Linked DNA regions of Lytechinus pictus. The protein of the gene in region 2 interacts with the protein of the main gene of each other region in a pairwise test. Links are inferred from orthologs where the notes say so. Each region holds a gene or a part of one and is shown on either strand. Other genes may lie near its edges.

Region 1 (10,685 bases), on a different chromosome or scaffold from region 2:
GCCCCAGGTTTCTACATTTTCATGCTTCTTTCATCAGGAGTCTTGTTTGTGATAAAGAAAAAAAAATTATTGAAATCATTTGATTTGACTTGAATACTTTTCATTCTTTTTAAAACAAAATCTCTTATCGGTCCATGTCTAACAAATTATAAAATTCATCTGACTTAAAAAGCATATTACATTATAGAACAGGAAGATATTTTCTTCATGACTCCTGTGTTGGCATAGGTTGGTCCTATAACTCTGGAACTAGTATTAGTAGTATTAAATTGTGTGATGAAGAAAACTATATCAAAGAGTTTAAGAAACCATGAGAGATGAGTGCACGTACAATATATCTGCAAGTATTTGCTGTTGATTTTCACATCCAGCGTCTTTTTTTTCTCTCTTTCAGCAATGATAAAGCAGTTTCTGACTGATGTTGTATGGGGTGAATTAGACTACCTTATTATAGATACACCACCAGGTTGGTATGATTCAGAAAGCAAATTATGAAAGTTTGGTAATTGGTTGTCATTTCATTTTACTCATTTTATTTTACATAAATTCTTTAGCATTTACATTTTTTTTACTTTTCCCTTTTTTCTTTCTTTTCCCTTTTTTCTTTCATTGGCAATGGAAATGTATCAGAAATTGTTATTTGAATAATGTATTCACATGTAAAATTGCCATTATCCAAATCATGAGCAACCTTATTTTGTACATTGTTGGAATGTTTGAGCAATTGATTTTGAAAATATTTAGATTATTTATTTAATGAAAAAGAGTTGAAAAATATATCTGTTGTAAGGGGTTATTTTGCCTCGAAATCCCCCTATTTTTATTTTTTTTTCCACATGGGATCAAAGCAGTGCATTGACCAAGATTTAAAAAAAATGATACTGACTTCATGAATCAACATGTCAGAATTTTCAACATGCTGGCATTTTTGTATGAATCATTGCCTGATTGTAACAGTAATTTTTGGTGTAGTGATTTCTTGAATCATTGTGTTATATTGCATAATCTGTTCATTGTATATTTACATAATCTATTACAAAATCTGCTTATTTTATAACAGGTACATCAGATGAACACATCACAGTGGTAGAGAATCTCCAGTCTCATAACCCGGATGGTGCTGTCCTTGTTACAACTCCTCAGGTAATTCAGGCTGGCCTATGACAGTTGTTACCTTTTATTTCCCGATTTATAGGAATCCCATGCTTTTTATAGTATTGCCTTATACATTCTCGTTATTTTCATTTACAATGGAGAGGGGAGAATTATATGAAACCATTTTGAATCATCACCTAATTTCATTTGGGAGTTATCCAATAATAGGTTTCTTTAATTTTGACACTGCTCTTCTATTGTAATGTATTCTTCCCCCCTGATGGATTCCCCTCATTTTAACAATTCCTAAGCCCTCATTTGCATGTTCATAATTTGCTCAAGAATCATTTCTTTGCCCTTGTACCTATCATGAAAAATGAATAAGATGGATTATTAGATCATTTTAGATGTGTGATTAAGCTATTATAATATTGTGGGGTTTTATCCTCTGCAGGCAGTAGCTGTAGGTGATGTTCGAAGAGAGCTAACATTCTGCAGGAAGACGAAGCTAAGAGTGTTGGGACTGGTAGAAAACATGAGCGGGTTTGTCTGCCCTCACTGTTCAGTAAGTATCTGCTTGATGATACATAAGGGAAAATAATGCATTAACGTACCCAGCCCTACCCTAAAAATATCCCTGACCCTACGTTTTTTCCTTTGTACAGTTATCGATAGAATCAATATCACATATCTTGCTGACTTTGCGATCGAATTGAAAAACGGAAGTGACGTGTGTTTGAGCCGGTGCATGAAATATCTCAGGCTTTGGTGTATGGGTAACCAGTTAATACAACAAATTGATCCTGTCTTTAGTGAGTTGTTTGTATGTATGCATGACTTGTGTGTGTATGACTGCGAGTGTTGGGGTGTATGTGTAGATATTGGTATCAAATACACTTTTCAATTTAAATAATTTTCACTCTTCTCCCCCCCCCCCCTCTTTTTTCTTCTTTGAAGGAGTGTTCCAATGTGTTCTCTCAAGGAGGTGGTGAATCACTGGCAAAGGAATGTCAAGTTCCCTTTCTAGGTAAAGATGGTTTTGCTTTTGAATTTATTGTTCTTTTTATTTCAAATGATTACCATAATAAAATAGCCACTATTTATATTTACATTTCTTAGATTAATTACCATAATGAATACCTCAGATTAGAAATAAGAATGAAGAAAAGTGGTCAGCTTGAAAATATTGATAAACAAATTACAAATTATAAATAACACATAAAAATGAAAATGAAGGGCTTATTAGAGATTAAAGATGATAAATTGAAAGTTACAGTGATATTTAGTAATTTAAAGGGGAATAAAATATTATCCCAAGAAATCAGGTGTTTTCAGAGAGCTTATTTTTACATACATGAGTCTTCTTTCATTTTGTGTATTTCACAGGTAACATTCCACTGGATCCTCAACTTGCGAGCTGCTCTGAGGGTGGTCAGGGCTTCATAGAGGCCTTCCCATCATCCCTGTCAACACAAGCCATCCAAAGCATAGTTGAAGCAGTCATAGCAAGCACCGATACAAGTACGACGTGACACATGCTGCCTGGCTACGGGAATACAAGTACTAGGAACCGTTTATATAGTTTTAATAGTTAGGAATAATCCATTGCCAGCAGTGCATGGCACAGAACCTTGTCAGTGCTCAACAGGCTCTCAAAGTCTGAGTGACAGAGGCTTCGCAGACCATATGATGGAGAATGAAATACCATTGGTGAGAAAAAGTGAACAGGATCAAAGATGAAGTATAATGAAGATACAGCCATATTCAGCTCATTATTCACCTTGTTAATCATCTTTAATACATCAAAGGAATTTATGATTAGTCAGACTGTATCTTGAAGGTAGTGGCTGAATTGCTCACAATTTGCATTCTACAAACTTATATCATTTTAACTCAGTTAAACAAATGCATGAGAAATTTCTGATAAACCTGATTTCTTCTCATTATGGCACAAATGGAACAAACATGGATAAATCCTTACCAGATTTTATGATGATAATGGCATTCTTGGTTTATAAAGCAGTGTCATTGAAACCTCCAGAATTGATTAGTCCTTCAATGGTTTGAATATTTGAGCTATTTAGTAGAGTGCTTCTGTTATCACTCTATTCAAATGTTTGATCATGATTATTCTGCAACTCAGAATTTAACCATGTAGCCATGATTCAAGTATGTTTTACCCCCATTTTGCACACAACAGATACAATTTTTTTCTTTTAGAAAGTCCCCTCGTTTTTTCTTTCTTTTATTTTTTGCAGACAGGGGTTGCATTCCAGGTACATTTTGGCTAAACCATCTCCCTTTAAATGCAGAATATTACAAAATAGAACCAGAAAAATAATTGATTACGAACTCATTAAAACAACTTTTTTTCCTCAAAATTTGATGCATTCGTTGTAAATAAACATGCCCAAAAGACCCCTCTTTACACTGTAGACAGTGGAAGATTTTGTAATCCTCTTGGTCGAATGAGCATTTGGTCAAACAATCACGTTGTCTAATACTTATGTTGTTACCAATAACACTGAACATGAAGAGTTTTAAGTTTGGACATATCTTTAACCAAGTTGAAATGAATTATTTCAAATTCAGAGTTGAAGTCTTTAATTACTAGAGTGATGATGAAAATATGTTTAGCTGATTCAAGCAACTCCGCTTCCTCTGTCATGTTATCCATTTCAATGTTAACATTATTTTTTACCAGTTTGTATTCTTTTGAATACCGGCCAAGGTATATTTATTCAATTTCATCCCGGAGTTTATTTACATACTTGAATTTTTTTCATATGAAATTATTTACCACGTCAAAGTTACAAAAATTCTTGACATAAATACAAATTATATCAGTCAAACACATCTGATGTAAAGACCTAGATTTATTTGTTGTTGATTGTTGTTTTTCTATTCTTGACTTGTTCCATTACCCTTAATTTATTACACTTTCTGTAAGACTGTTTTATAAAGCTATCTGTTAAAAAGTGATATTTTTGCATACTTTATAATTGAGATTGCAATATTATGTACATGAATGTATAAAATTTGAATAATTTGAAAAATGATTAATGAAGTTCAGTTGTATTGATTTGACAGAGATTACTTAAAGAATTTGGGTATTTCACAATCTGTTCATTATCATGAGAGGCCTACTTATCAATTTTGGAGTCAGCAACGTTTTCCCAGATAGCACAGGCTTCAAATGAAAATGGAAAAATTAAAGAAATACCGGTATTTAACTGAACAAAGAATCCCAAGTTCATGGAAGAAAAAGGATCGATTATTATAGCTAGCAGTGAGATCCTAGGAAAATAGTTTTGAATTAGGGGCCAGTAACACATAGCTCAGCAATCATCATAGAAAGAATATCTACAAATGATTGCATCGACTACAATGTGCAATCAATCTAAAAAATCAAGCTTATGATTAATTGCTAATGTTTGTGTTACCGAACCCAGGAGAGAAACATGGTGTCTAATGCAGGGTGTTTAGTGCACTGTGGTTGACCACTCTATCAGGATTAACATGGAGGAGTGACATGATATGGGTGAAATGATTGTTAAATGAGTGAATACAAAAAGTGATGCTTTTGGTAAGAAAAGGAGAGTGGAGATGAATGTGGATATTAAAGTCAAAGCATAAGTAAGGTTGGGTGTATTCAATTGTTATATTAGAGTCACTTTGCAAAAGGAGTTGCAATCAGACGCAACTAAAAAAATCAATTGCAACTTGGATTTTCAATCAATGAAAGGAGCGTATTAGAGACTTGATTTGGATTCGAATTCAAATCTTTCTGCTTTTTTTTACGAAAATAACTAATTTCTTAATTTTTTTTTGGTGAAAACCTTTTTTTTTGGTCAAATTTTCATCGGATGAAAACTCCCCCCCCCCTTTTTTTTTTGCTTGTCAAGTTTTCAATCAACTCAAAAATCCTGCGTACACTACTGTTTGCAGCAATATTCCCCAACCATCTTCAATCAATTTAATCAGTCCTATCTCTCCCTACTTGCTTCTGTATTTAGGGTTGTCCGTAGTTTCTCAAACCAGAAAAATGAATTCAAACAAAAGAAAAAAACAAGTAAAGGATTTTAATTAAATTTCCAACCAAATAAAAAAAACTAATGTTTACAGTTTTCTAATAGATTAGAGTGTTACTCCAGTCTGAAAATAACATGATCTTTGGAGCAAGAAACAAGAAAGCTTCATCAAAATCTATTTTAAAAAAGTTTATAATATCAATATTTTTTTTTATTTGTGCAAAATTTTGATCTAAGTGCTCTTCCAATTTTGATGAAACCATATCAGTGTTTTGTTTCTCTGATATTTACCATCTGTTCTAATGTTATAATTTTCAGCCTGGATTATCCCTTTAAAACTCATAATTTTGTATGCATTTCTTCTGAGCTAACACATTCTCATGAACTTTACACACACACATATAATACCATTCCATTATTTTTAAAATCCTTGCCTCTGTGCATGCCTGATAGGGGTGGGTATAGGCAGACAGAGGAGTAATTAATTGCTACCTCTTCCATCCCAAGTATTTAAAAATAATGATTTTAGCAATTTTTATGCAAATTGTCTAAAAAATATCCTCCCAAATTAAGTGTGCATGGGATCAAGCCCATGCAGATGCCATAATAAATCCTGCAATTATACTTCATAGGCCTAAATCAAAATGTAAAAAAAAAATATTAACTCCCAGCTTGTTTATGTTTCTGAATACTTTTAAATTTTCTTGCCACTATCAAAATTCCAAATTGTGGCCATGTCCCATTATCTTGTTGTATTTCTGTGTTTTAGGGTTTGTCTGCACTCGAGTCACCAAGATTCTGGCTGTGATGTCATTTTTCTTTGTTGTTCTGAAGACACTGTATGTTTAAATTTTTAGTAGAAATTGATCGCTGTATTTATTCGACGGGGTGTTGGAAAACCAATGGAGTACGCTGTTGAAGTAACAGCAGATAGACGTAAGGGTACCGTACCCGGTACGTTTGTTATGTGGATTTACGTGAATGGGTCAGGCCAGGAAGAGGTCAATCATAGATAGGATCGCCGAGTTTGCATGCAGTAATTTTTGATTTTCCACTGGTATGTATTTTGTTTGATTTTATGTGCTTGTACATTATAGTCTACTTTTCTGTTAACCCAGAGAGCTCCCGCCCGCACAGCGGGCGGGAGCCCAGAAGCTTACCGTGTATTTTACCATTGTCACCGGACTAGGGTGATTTATGGTCTAAATATTTCTCCAAATGAATTGTGAAAACAGAAAGTATACAATTACCATGATTATATGGATGAAGGTCTAACGAGTGGCAGATTCCTGACATCTGGGCACAGTCTGGAACCTCAAAAAAACGAAAAGTTCTCTCCTTCTACCCCGTCTCGATCGGCCATTTTTGTTAAAAATCGTAACAAAATGGCCGATCGAGACTGGGTAGAAGGAGAGAACTTTTCGTTTTTTTGAGGTTCCAGACTGTGCCCAGATGTCAGGAATCTGCCACTCGTTAGACCTTCATCCATATAATCGTGGTAATTGTATACTTTCCGTTTTCACAATTCATTTGGAGAAATATTTAGACCATAAATCACCCTAGTCCGGTGACAATGGTAAAATACACGGTAAGCTTCTGGGCTCCCGCCCGCTACGCGGGCGGGAGCTCTCTGACTCTGGGTTACTTTTCTGTTGGATTAGTTATTTAGCTCTGATTTTGTTAGAACTCATGACTGAGTCTTAACTTAAGACTTTTTAGCTTTGTCTTTGTTGCCGTTGGGAGGAGCCTCTCTGGGCCTGGACTGGCGGACTGGCTGCTCGCCTCTGCTACTCCGTCTCTCCGGGAAGCTCCGGGCTGCGTAATCCATGGGTCTCCGATCTCCGTTGCGTCTCAGTCACAGAATGAAAATCGCGGCGCTAGCTCTAGCGCAGCATAAATAATATGAGTGGGGTTGTTTTTGTATGGTCAGTTCCCCCATGTCTGCGCGGTCTCTCAAGTCTGCGCACCCGCGTATCTGCGCGATTCTAGTAAAAGAAGATACGCAACGAGCAAGAACTTTACACATGCAATACATAGACAGGTATTCATAAAAAATCTGACTCAAAATGGTGGAAAAATAATGAATTCAGGGCATTTCATGTGACGGCCTCAAAATGCAGCCTTTGTCATCAAAATCCCCAAATCGTGAAAGTGAATGAGTGCGCAGACATGGGGTACCATTTTTTTTTCAATCTGAAAATGACTGCCCAAAGGTTTTTTCAAGAAAATCTTATATTTTCTTTCATTTTTTAATGAGAAATTTGGTACACTTACTCTTAATAATATAAGGAACACTATTAACCAAAAGATTTTGTGAAATAAGAAGAAATTCATGTTAAATCTTAACTCAAATTGTTAGGTGCGCAGACTTGGGGCCCACCATCATAAATAAGGCGCTAATATTAAATGCAGTTTCAGACTTACACATTCATTGGCCAACAACCTGACGTCTTTGACTATGAAAGTATGATCAATGATGATTGATGGTGCCTTGGGCTTGGTGGCCAAGTCTGCGCACCTACCAATTTAAGTTAAGATATAACAATAACTAGACCAAAAGCTTCAGTCTCTGTATTTTGGTTGTTCCGCTGAACTACGTTGGCTCCACTCACCATACATAGACTGAAGGGGATGGGGCCCCGTACCTACAGCCAACGTATAGTGAACTAGCGTTTTATAGATCGCGATTTAAAACTGTTTTTTAAGCAAAATTGAAAGTTTCATGGTTTCCATTATCAGGGAAATATATATAACTTAAGTAATTGCATACCTTGGGCCGGAGTTATTGAAAAAAATCCTCTGGATGATTGAGAAATCTGTCATCTAAGACATTTTCACCTGACCTGACGGTTTTTCTTGCAAGTTGCCATCTTGAATGACGTCATTGTCGTTATTAACTTAATGTCTCGAATCGATATATCGCGATTATAACTAGTACTCGTACTAGTATAACTAGTATCGTTTATCTTCGGTTTCGTTCGCATATGGAGCAGATCGTATAATATCGAAAGCAATATCGATATCACATTCGTGATTGTTGACGTTCGTTTGTAAATATTTTATAGTTTGGCTGCCATTTTGACCATTTTTATCGTGTTCAACCCAATTAAACATCGGTAAAGTATATTTTTCATGCCTTTTTCATCTATATCGTTTAAAGTATTTAAATGTTGGAATATCATCAATTAAAAGTTTGTTGTTTATACATCCTTAGATTGTAAATTCGATGTGTAAAATTACATCAAACTTTGGACTGTGAATTGACAAAAGGGAGGGAATGAGAACACATGCGAGCCCACACGTACACCCTACCGTCGGTAAATGGGGATTACAGTAAAATGTCAGAAATTGTTGAATAAATCCCCAGAAACGACGGATATTCCTGTCTAAACAATAACAACATGATTCATGAATTACTTTTTCTTTCACAAAATCTTTCAGTTAACATTAAAATAATGATGTTCCTTATTTATATTATTATGAGTAAGTGTACCAAATATCTCATAACAATTTGAAAGATATAGGCCTAGGCCTATAGGATTTTCTTGGAAAAAACCTCGGGCTGTAATTTTCAGATTGAAAAAAAAAATGGTACGGTACCGTTACCCCATGTCTGCGCACCCATTCACTTTGCACACGATTCAGAGATTTTGATGAGAAAGGCTGCATTTTGAGGCTGTAACATGAAATGCTCCAAATATATTATTTTTCCACCATTTTGAGTCAGATTTTTTAATGAATATCTGTCTATGTATTGCATGTGTAAAGTCTGTGTTCGTTGCGTATCTTTTTCTACTAGAATCGCGCAGATACGCATGTGCGCAGACAAGGGGGACTGCGCAGACTTGAGGGAACTTGCCATACTTGAGTCAGGAAACTTATTTCACCTCAGTCAAATTTTGTCTGAATTTTTGCCAAAAATATCGCAAAGGCTTTGCCTTTGATCCCTTAACAGGTAATCATGGTAATGGTTAACCCAGGGAGCTCCGGCCCGCACAGCGGGCCGGAGCCCAGGGGCTTACCGTGTATTTGACCATGATACTCACGGGACTAGCGTGATTTATGGTCTAAATATTTCTCCAAATGAATTGTGAAAACAGAAATTATGCACTAACCGCAATTATATGGATGAAGGTCTAACGAGTGGCAGTTTCCTGACATCGAGGCACAGACTGGAACTTAAAAAAAACGAAAAGTTCTCTCCTTCTACCCCCGTCTCGATCGGCCATTTTTGTTATGAATCGTAACTCCCCAGAGCTCCCTGGGTTAGGTAATGGTGTGTGTAGTCTGTAGACAGCTGGCAGCCGTCTGTTTCAAGGAGTTTTTTAAACATTTTAATTTTTTTTCTTCGTACACAGACGGCCTGCGATCGTGCAGCCGCCATTAGGGGGTTAACAATGCAAAATCCCCCCGACGGGGCTCATCGATTTTTGTCTTTATTTCATGAAAATATATAAAAAGAACTGGACCTAAATAAAGATTATTCTATTCCGTTTTGGCCTGAAATGCACCAAAATGGGAAAAAATAAACTTAAATAATAATAATACTATTCAGTTCTTTTATAGCGCATAACACATAGCAACGCATGTCCCTATGTACTTGGATGAAATTAAGGAAAGAAATTAAAAAGTACAATGTACTTCGGCTGTCGCGCAACTCCCACTTCCCTGGTTTATCCGAACTTAATACATAAACATATGGCCATTGAGTCCCTGTACAGATCGAGTTAGAACTCTGGTCTCTGTAATTGGTGAGTGGAGCCAACGGAGTTCAGCGGAACAACCAATATAACAGAGACCTAAGCTTTTGGTCTATGGCAATGTGAACCCCTACCCTACGGCCTACAAAACTCCTAAGTATTGGAAACAAAACGAGACCATTGACAAGTATTCCCTGAATGGGCACCTAAACAAGTACAACGATATCTTAATTGTTATGTCACGGACGTGATCATGGATGTCGGCTTTACCTTTACTTTTCATAGTACCACCCAAGACACCTCTCTTAAATCGGACCCTAAACACGTAGTGTTGGGGCAAAAAGTAAATCCTTTATAAAGTATTTTAGTCTTTTTATACCATCGCAAATTGGACCATAAACACATAGTTTTCCTAGCGAAATATATATACCCCTTTTTCATTATTTTAGTGTTTTCGACACTCTTATTACGTTACGTATGTAACATGCCCTGTCTTGAAAAAAGAGATCCTTTTTACATGTTTTTTTGGTCACGTATGGTATCCACTCGTCAATGGAAGTGGCCCCACGCGGCCCCACCAGCCATGCACAAGTCAGATTTAGGCCTATTGAATTATCATTTTTCATATAGCAGGATTCACTTTGGTTTTCATTTCAGGACTTGTAGGTGACCAGCTGATGCTAGAGTGTATCTTCCAACGTTGAATTGATATCTATCATCTGCAAATATGGAAGATACTGCACAAAAGATTCGGATGATAGAGGAAAAATTGGCAGTTGTAAGCAAACAATAATTTCTGCTCACATGTATTGCATGATTTATAGAAGTCCATTCTAAAATTGAAACAAATTGTATTTGC
Region 2 (10,023 bases):
TGAAGGCCTCAGGCTATTTTCAGGCCTGGAATAACCTCATTTTCCCTCTTCGTCTATCAACCTGCGGCCTGTTTCATAGAACTTGTTATAATAAGAAACTTGCAGTAACAGTTAAAAACTTCTGAAATCATTCCATTTGATTGGCTAACAATAAACATGTAGAAATTTGCATTTTGTTATTAACACAATCAATGGGACCATGATCTTATCTTATTAATGAAACAAAAATATCAGTAATATGTACTTACTCTCCTGCTTGCCTGTTCACAAAGAGCTCCTTGTATGAGGCTATTACTAAACAGATGTTCTCAAGAAAACCATTGCAGCTGCTGTCAACAAACTCCAATATATCCTGAAAGAATAAAACACAACTTTATCATAGGAGGTTGGCATTGTATAGGGATCTTAGTAGATTTTAACTTTGGGTTTATAGTTGAAAGCCTTTGGAAATCAACCTGTACTGTGCCTGGGTGGGGGAATTAGAGTGAGTTTTGAAGCAACTACAGTTTTACAAATTACACAGAATTTTCCTGTAATAATTTCTCTTGAGGAAGCTTTCTTCTCGAAGATGAGTACAACTGCAGCAAACATAAGTCTTTACAGCTCAGGCTAACTGTCATCTTTCATCACTGATCTAGATCAGGTTCATCTACATCAACCTAACTCTCTGAATCCATGAAATCTATGCTGAAAATGATCACACCGAACCTCACCAACACAGATAACCACATGTGGGACCAGGCTTTTATTGCCTGGAAAGCCATGTTTATTGTTTCAATATCTTAGTAATTACGCATTTTCTACCACAATCATTTGACAGATATGATTTTTCACACATATAAATTTACTGGATTCTTTTCAAACTCATATGGAGAATGTTACAACTCGCGTTAATGTTTGAATTAATGTTCGATAAGACAGAACCTGCTATATACATTGAAACCATCATCCGTCTCATTTCTTGGGTCTCCCGATCAAACAGATATTTTTATACAACTCCCAAGAGTGTTCTGTGATCTGATTGGTCCAAATCGGATCACATGATATTCAGCGAATTGCACTATTGCATCCAATATGCACTATCCTGCACTCTGACGTCAGAGTGCAGGATAGTGCGAGGTCTGGAATTATCTAGAATTTAGATCAAATATAGCATTTGGGGCAACTCAGTAACATGGGGGGGTTGTACAAAACAAACAATGCACGCATTCTTGTGCATAGAGGACCTAAATAATGAACTCTGTGCTCAACTCGCCAAATATCCATTGGCTCTTCTCGCACATCGTTCATTATTTAGCCCTGCATGCATGCGCTTACGTGCATTCTATGTGTATACTATGAGATGTCCCTCTCCTTTAAAGAGAGGCCAATAAACACAGGATATTGAAAAAACACCACAATACACACACAAATATTCTATTTCAACAATACAGAAATGTGCAGAGCGATGAAGATATGGAGGCCCAGAGGGAGAAACATATCAAAACAAAAGTTAGGCTCACCATTGGAAGTGACCTCATGATCTTATCAGAGGGTCTCTCCCCCTCCTGATTGCTAACACCATCCTCATCTTCCTCAGGGCTGGATGCGGTCCGCTGTCTACCAGTCTTCACATGACTTGACATCTCCCTCAGACTCTCATCCAACTTGTGTCGGGCACTGTCAGTGAATTCACAGACACGAAATTTAGTCTAAATACACTCATTACATGAAATTAACAAATTATTTCGTTCCTTCAATAAAGATAAACATAACCCACTCCCCAAAAATCCCCAATATCATCATTTACGGACAATATAACCTCTTGCCAATTTCCTAAAAAAGCTACTATTACAGAAACTTTGGTATCTTTAATGCAACTAGCCAACTACCTTGATAACAATACTTTAATAAATACCTACAAATCAATATCATTTTTCCAGTGAAGTGATGATTTTAATAGTAAAATTTCATACATCGGGCCATTGGGGTCTGTTAATGAAGAGTCACGATAATGGTACCTTTGAGATCCATCTGTAACTTCCTTGGAATCCTAGACTTGAGTGGTTGTTGAGCATTGTTACCATAGAATGGCAAAGTCACAATGATAATGATTGATGATGATGACGATGATAATAATTAATAATAATAATCATTTTGTATACCACAAATTGCCTCTAAGCGGTTAAAAGAAAGGAAATATGAAGTGAAAAAGATGATGACGATGATCCTGACGATGATGATGATGATAATAATAATAATAATCTGCTTTTATATAGCGATTAATACATCGGAACATCTCTAAGCGCTTTACAGATATATTGAAAGTTACAATGACAGTTACTTTGAAGAAACAAGTCTAATAATAAGAAAGTGTCTACATAGTTAAAGCTGTCAATTCATTAAGAAGTCATTACTCATACTTACTGAGAAAGAAACTCATCAAAGAGCTCATCGGGTGGTTCTTTGAGTTGCAGCAACAAATCTACACATTCAGCTAGCTGTTTAGCATCAGACTAGGGAATAATCATTGTATGAAAGATTACACAATATTTGGTTAAAAGCAACAGATCTATACATTGTTTAGCATCAGACTGGAGAATAACTACTACACGTATATGATGACACAATGGTTGGTTAAAAGAAACAGATCTACAAATTCAGCTAGCTGTTTAGCATCAGACTAGGGAATATTCATTGTATGAAAGATCACACAATGGTTGGTTAAAAACATATGTAACATTCTGCTTAGCATCAGACTAGCCATAATAATTACTGTATGAAATTGATTATACAACAGTTGGTTAAAAGCAACAGATCTACACATTGTTTAGCATCAGACTAGGAAATAAATACTACATGTATATGTAAGCGATTACACAATGGTCGGTTAACAGAAACAGATCTACATATTCAGATAGCTGTTCAGCATTAGACTAGGGAATAATCTTCATATGAAAGTGATTACACAACATCGGTTAAAAACAGATTACACATTCAGCTAGCTGTTTAGCATCAGACTAGGGAATAATCATTGTATGAAAGTGATTACACAATGGTTGGTTAAAAGAAACTGATTTACATATTTAGCTAGCTGTTTAGCATCAGACTAGGGAATAATCATTGTTTGTAAGCGATTACACAATGGTTGGTTAAAAGAAACTGATTTACATATTTAGCTAGCTGTTTAGCATCAGACTAGGGAATAATCATTGTTTGTAAGCGATTACACAATGGTTGGTTAAAAGAAACTGATCTACATATTCAGCTAGCGGTTTTATAGCATCAGACTAGGGAATAATCATTGTATGAAACTAGTGATTACACAATATTTGGTTAAACACACGTGTAACATTCTGCCTAGATCAGACTAGCCATAAAAATTACTGTATGAAATTGATTACACAATAGTTGGTTAAAAGTAACAGATCTACACATTAAGCCAGCTGTTTGGCATCAGACTAAGAAATTAATATTGTATGAAAGTGATAACACAATTATTGGTTAAAAGCAACAGATCTACACATCAAGCAAGCTGTTTAGCATCAGACAATGGAATAATAACTATGTAAAAGTAATTACAGAGTAGATAAAATTTAATATATGATCGAGGATTGAATTCAAAGATAATAACACAGAATCTAACAATTTTCAATCAAAATTCCAGGTTGACTTTGCAATCTGAGTAAAGTGTAATGATGTGGTAAATATGGTTACCCGACTCAAAGTGTAAACAGAAGTGCTATTTACAATCAGTTCAAAATGCAGATAACTTTGCTTCTTAATTCCAATCTATTCGGACCACAAATCTGTTTTGTTCAAATGAGAAATGTGCCTTAGAAGAGGTCTATAAAAGATGTGTAGCCTAATCTGGCATGAAAAAATTGGTTTGACCTTGGCGAATATTTGATTCAAGTTTACATGTATTACGGCAAAGTTTTTGCCCAATAATCTAAAGGCCTGGTCCCACTGGCCGAAGGACACAAAAACGTATTCATAACGGATACAGCGGACAAGCAAAATTTTGGGGTGGCTCCATCCGGTTTCATCCACTCCAGACAATGGACAAGATGGGCGAACAATGAAATAACAGTGGATGGATGCTCGATGGATATAGAGCGTATGATACATGTATGCCAAGAGTACACAACGGATACAAAACGTTTTCCAACGGATGGCAAGATTCTTTTCCATTTTACATCATCTCTGCATCCGTAAGTGGAGTGGGACTAAGCCTTTTAAGAATGATAGAACATTTACCTCTTTGTTCCCGAACTGTTCTCTTAACTTGAGCCTTAGTTCATTGACGATTTCATTGCAGTCTCTATGGATACCGTGGAATGAAGGCATGTGCTGGTACTGAAGTAGGACAACACGCGCTTTGGAGTAGTATCTGGGAGAGAAATCAAAGTAGATATACATGTAGACAAAGAATTTGCATCACAAAGTCTACAAGTAGCATATAGATTCAATTCAATTCATTTACATTCTCAAAAAAACACAAACAAACATGAAAAACATACATAAGATATAGAAGTAAAACATTGTTATGACATACAAAAAACATATTTATGAGAATGAGGGGCCAACAAAAAAGAGCAGGTAGCCTTATTGAACGTTGACCCAACATCTATAAAGACAAAAATAATTAATATTCCAAAAACAGATAACATAAATGAAAACAAATATTAACACGTAAATTCAGAATAGCGTAATTATACAGCAAATTAAGAATACAAACTTGAAAGATGTTATTTGTAATAATGTTTGAATGAATTGAAGGTTCGGCATATTTTTAAAGAATATGGTACATTATCCAAAGAATAGGTCCTTCAAAAAATTGAGTTATAAGAAACTGAAGCTCGCATATACATGTATGTAAATAATAAAAACAGGTTACATGGTGGCAAGATTCTTGTGTATGCACTTTTAGAGTAGTATCTGGGATAATTCAAAGTAGATACTGACAAAGCATTGTCATCAGAAATGAATGCAACATATGGGTCATTCTATCTAGAGCCTTGAATTTTGTAGGAATGGGTTCATCAGACCTGAGGTAGTATGACCACATGAATACATATGTGACCTACCACCCCCAAACCACCAATAAGTCGCCAGGTTAGGTTCTCTGTAAATAGCCAAAATAGTAATTTAGTCTCCAAAAAACAAAAATTAGAAAAATGGCTTATCTGAAAGAGCAATTCTTCTTCTTCATACTGTAAAAAAATTGTCGTGAAGTTGTGAAGTTGAATAAAAGAAAAGATACAAGAGTTTCTTGGACACTACTTTTTCGGACTGCTTGTAAGTTTCACTGAGATTACACAGTATGCACATCTTATGCTTGAGTGAACCCAAAACTTCAAACCTTGTTTTCAGCTCTTGCTGAACTTCCTCTGCATTCGATCAAGTACTTGTAATGCTTAGGCGAGGCGTCAAAACCCCAAATGCGTTCCAACGCGTGCATAGCCATTGTTCCATAATGAGAGTGTGCAAAGGAGTTCCAAGAGATTAGTACGAAGTACCGTTATATTCTACATTAAATCTAATTTGCATAATCCGTACACGCTGGGGAACGGGGCAATTATTATCTCGATCGCTATTGGCTAATCCGCCGGAGCGTCGCACGAGAATACACTGAATAGTGCAGGTTCACATACACATACACACACACAGCGCGCCAGCGTACACTTCACATAAAATGAGGTCAGTGTTCGGCGTGCACGTCGGATCAACATTTGCAGCGAAGCTTTGCAGCGAATGCAGCGCGTGAGGTGCGGGCGGATCTACGAGAGGGGGGAATAGGGGTTGCCTGGGGCTAGCTTCCAGTACAAAGTACCAATAAAAAAAAAAAAAATCCGTGTTTACGAGAGTCGCGCAAGCAAAACGGTGGCGGATTAGGACATGCTTTTAAATTGTTTTGAGGGGCGAACGAGTGAAAATATATTTTGTATGCCTTTCGTTATGAACTCCCGTTCTCCATGACGAAATGTAATTGACGAAAGGAAAGTAAAACAAAATAGAGGTAACAAACATCTCAGAATAGTTTGCGATCTATCAGGACATGTTTTAAAATTGATTTTAGGTGTCAACAAGTTAAAATATATTTGATATACCTTTCGTTGTAATCCCTTGTTCTCCGTTAAGAAATATTAAATACGTCTTTTCTCGACGATGTTGGAAACGTAAATAAAACAGAATAGAAGTCACAAACATCTCAGATGGGTGTGCGATCTATCACAACATGTTTTAAAGCTGTTTTTAGGGGTCAACAAGTTAAAATAGATTTGATATACCTTCCGTTATGATCCCCTATTCTCCGTTAAGAAATATTAAAGATGCATTTTCTCGAAAAAGTTGGAAACGTCGATAAAACAAAATAGAAGTTGGTAGCATCTCATATTTATTGGTGATACATATTTTTCGAGGGGTCAACAAGTTAAAATATATTTGATATACCTTTCGTTTTGATCCCTTGTTGTCCGTTAAAAATATTAAATACGTCTTTTCTTGACGATGTTGGAAACGTAAATAAAACAGAATAGAAGTCAAACACATCTCAGATGGGTGTGCGATCTATCAGGACATGTTTTAAAATTGTTTTTAGGTGTCAACAAGTTGAAATAGATTTGATATACCTTTCGTTATGATCCCTTGTTCTCCGTTAAGAAATATTAAATACGTCTTTTCTTGACGATGTTGGAAACGTAAATAAAACAATAGAAGTCACAAACGTCTCAAATGGGTGTGCGATCTATCACAACATGTTTTAAAGCTGTTTTTAGGGGTCAACAAGTTAAAATAGATTTGATATACCTTCCGTTATGATCCCCTGTTCTCCGTAAAGAAATATTAAATAGGTCTTTTCTCGACGATGTTGGAAACGTAAATAAAACAGAATAGAAGTCAAACACATCTCAGATGGGTGTGCGATCTATCAGGACATGTTTTAAAATTGTTTTTAGGTGTCAACAAGTTAAAATAGATTTGATATACCTTTCGTTATGATCCCTTGTTCTCCGTTAAGAAATATTAAATACGTCTTTTCTTGACGATGTTGGAAACGTAAATAAAACAGAATAGAAGTCACAAACATCTCAGATGGGTGTGCGATCTATCAGGACATGTTTTTAAATTGTTTTTAGGTGTCAACAAGTTAAATTATATTTGATATACCTTTCGTTGTGATCCCTTGTTCTCCGTTAAGAAATATTAAATAGGTCTTTCTCGACGATGTTGGAAACGTAGATAAAACAAAATAGAAGTCACAAACATCTCAGATGGGTGTGCGATCTATCAGGACATGTTTTAAAATTGTTTTTAGGTGTCAACAAGTTAAAATAGATTTGATATACCTTTCGTTATGATCCCTTGTTCTCCGTTAAGAAATATTAAATACGTCTTTTCTCGACGATGTTGGAAACGTAAATAAAACATCTCAAATTGGTGTGCGATCTATCAGGACACGTTTTAAAATTGTTTTTAGGTGTCAACAAGTTAAATTATATTTGATATACCTTTCGTTGTGATCCCTTGTTCTCCGTTAAGAGATATTAAATGCGTCTTTTCTCGACGATGTTGGAAACGTAGATAAAACAAAATAGAAGTCACAAACATCTCAGATGGGTGTGCGATCTATCAGGACATGTTTTAAAATTGTTTTTAGGTGTCAACAAGTTAAAATAGATTTGATATACCTTTCGTTATGATCCCTTGTTCTCCGTTAAGAGATATTAAATGCGTCTTTTCTCGACGATGTTGGAAACGTAGATAAAACAAAATAGAAGTCACAAACATCTCAGATGGGTGTGCGATCTATCAGGACATGTTTTAAAATTGTTTTTAGGTGTCAACAAGTTAAAATAGATTTGATATACCTTTCGTTATGATCCCTTGTTCTCCGTTAAGAAATATTAAATACGTCTTTTCTCGACGATGTTGGAAACGTAAATAAAACAAAATAAAAGTCACAAACATCTCAGATGGGTGTGCGATCTATCAGGGCATGATTGAAAAATTTTCCAGGGGTCAACAAGTTAAAATAGATTTGATATACCTTTCGTTATGATCCCTTGTTCTCCGTTAAGAAATATTAAATACGTCTTTTCTTGACGATGTTGGAAACGTAAATAAAACAGAATAGAAGTCAAACACATCTCAGATGGGTGTGCGATCTATATCAGGACATGTTTTAAAATTGTTTTTAGGTGTCAACAAGTTAAAATAGATTTGATATACCTTTCGTTATGATCCCTTGTTCTCCGTTAAGAAATATTAAATACGTCTTTTCTTGACGATGTTGGAAACGTAAATAAAACAATAGAAGTCACAAACGTCTCAAATGGGTGTGTGATCTATCACAACATGTTTTAAAGCTGTTTTTAGGGGTCAACAAGTTAAAATAGATTTGATATACCTTTCGTTATGATCCCTTGTTCTCCGTTAAGAAATATTAAATACGTCTTTTCTTGACGATGTTGGAAACGTAAATAAAACAATAGAAGTCACAAACGTCTCAAATGGGTGTGCGATCTATCACAACATGTTTTAAAGCTGTTTTTAGGGGTCAACAAGTTAAAATAGATTTGATATACCTTTCGTTATGATCCCCTGTTATCCGTTAAGAAATATTAAAGATGCATTTTCTCGACAAGTTGGAAACGTAAATAAGACAAAATAGAAGTCAGTTGGTAGCCTTTCATAATTATTTGCGATCTATCAGGACATCTTTTAAGATTGTTTGAAGGTGACAAATCGTATCAAGGTTATACCGAGGTTGTTTTACCTGACTGCTAAGAAAGCACGAATGCCTGTGAGCAAGCAACCAGGGGACGAACGGCTTAAGGTCCTCTCCGAGGGACCTGGTAATGAGGATAAATGCCTTACCAAAGGGCACTAGCGCACCACTTGGGAATCGAACCCGGTTCACCGGAATCCGAAACCCCCGCTCTACCGACTGAGCTATCGCGCCTCAGCTAGCGCTGCACGCTTGCATTTTGATTGGCGAGTTATGTATGTCTCAATATTGATTATACAACAAACTACTTGAAATCCCCTTTTCATGACAGTTTATCAAAAAAATTGGCTCACGGTTTGCGTTCGCATTAATGATTAAATATATTAACTTGATGCATCATATTTATAGTTACAAAGGTGCTTGAAATGTCCAGATTTCAGGCCATAATATCATCAGATTTCGCGCCCTCATTATGCATTCATGAATATTTAACATATTTCGGGTGATTTCATGCAACGGTCTAGAGTGGGCCATAATGTGCCTGCACTGTACATCTATAGGTCCTTGGTTGAAGTCAACGATCCTATATAACGACCCCTTGAACCTGAATTGGGTCAATTACGCCGTCTAGCACGTTTTGAGAACAATGGATGAAGGTGTGAAAATCACAAAGCAGCTAACAATAGGAAAAATCCGTTTCAATTGAAGTTACGCTATAGATTGCGTATAGCGGTTTGAATGTGAAACCCTGAACATGCTGAATGCCTCATTGTCTGTATGTTACTACTGTGTACTAGTAGGTCCATGGTTATAGACTCTATTATAGTTGCGTGCATGTCTTCTCCAAGCCGATTCATAGCTTGTCGGTGGCTTTAATGCACGTAAAATACAAATATACATGTAACTCTATAGGTCCCATTATAGGGCATTTTTAACGGAATCGCCGATGAGATAATTTTGACAAAACAAAAATGAATCACACTAATTATGCAGCAGCTATGTTTCTAAACATTACATGATCAAATAAAAGACACGGGATGATATTTATTAAATTTGTTAATGGCGGCTGGTCTTTATGATAAAAACATAGGTCTATTTTATCTTTAAGACATGAGAAAACAAATAAATCAATTGTATAATTAATGTGTGTGTTTTACTTTTTACAAACGTGTATCAATCGAACATGCTGACTACATGAAGAGTGCTGAGGTCCATTACATGATTTATTGGTATTTACACCGAGTTCTCAAATAATGGTACAAGATTTTAGAAAAGAAGTTTTGAGTGTCGTCTCGTGTACTTCAAATCTT

The links.
Region 1: the proteins of vacuolar protein sorting-associated protein 51 homolog (region 2) and exocyst complex component 7-like interact in a two-hybrid assay, tested with the Drosophila melanogaster proteins (2 studies listed by BioGRID). The link is inferred for Lytechinus pictus from reciprocal best matches to the Drosophila melanogaster genes Vps51 and Exo70.

Annotation. Positions count from the first base shown.
Region 1 is NC_087254.1:33,360,763-33,371,447, forward strand, and holds the start of exocyst complex component 7-like, read left to right. Parts: upstream 1-5,962; 5' UTR 5,963-6,183; intron 6,184-10,483; 5' UTR 10,484-10,553; coding exon 10,554-10,604; intron 10,605-10,685. Other genes in the region: cytosolic Fe-S cluster assembly factor NUBP2 homolog, read left to right, coding at 395-466, 1,061-1,143, 1,550-1,660, 2,053-2,122, 2,482-2,627. UniProt on the Drosophila melanogaster protein: Required for exocytosis. Thought to function in intracellular vesicle targeting and docking before SNARE complex formation.
Region 2 is NC_087256.1:24,416,188-24,426,210, reverse strand, and holds the start of vacuolar protein sorting-associated protein 51 homolog, read right to left. Parts: upstream 4,371-10,023; 5' UTR 4,330-4,370; coding exon 4,240-4,329; intron 2,496-4,239; coding exon 2,407-2,495; intron 1,660-2,406; coding exon 1,503-1,659; intron 353-1,502; coding exon 249-352; intron 1-248. UniProt on the Drosophila melanogaster protein: May act as a component of the GARP complex that is involved in retrograde transport from early and late endosomes to the trans-Golgi network (TGN).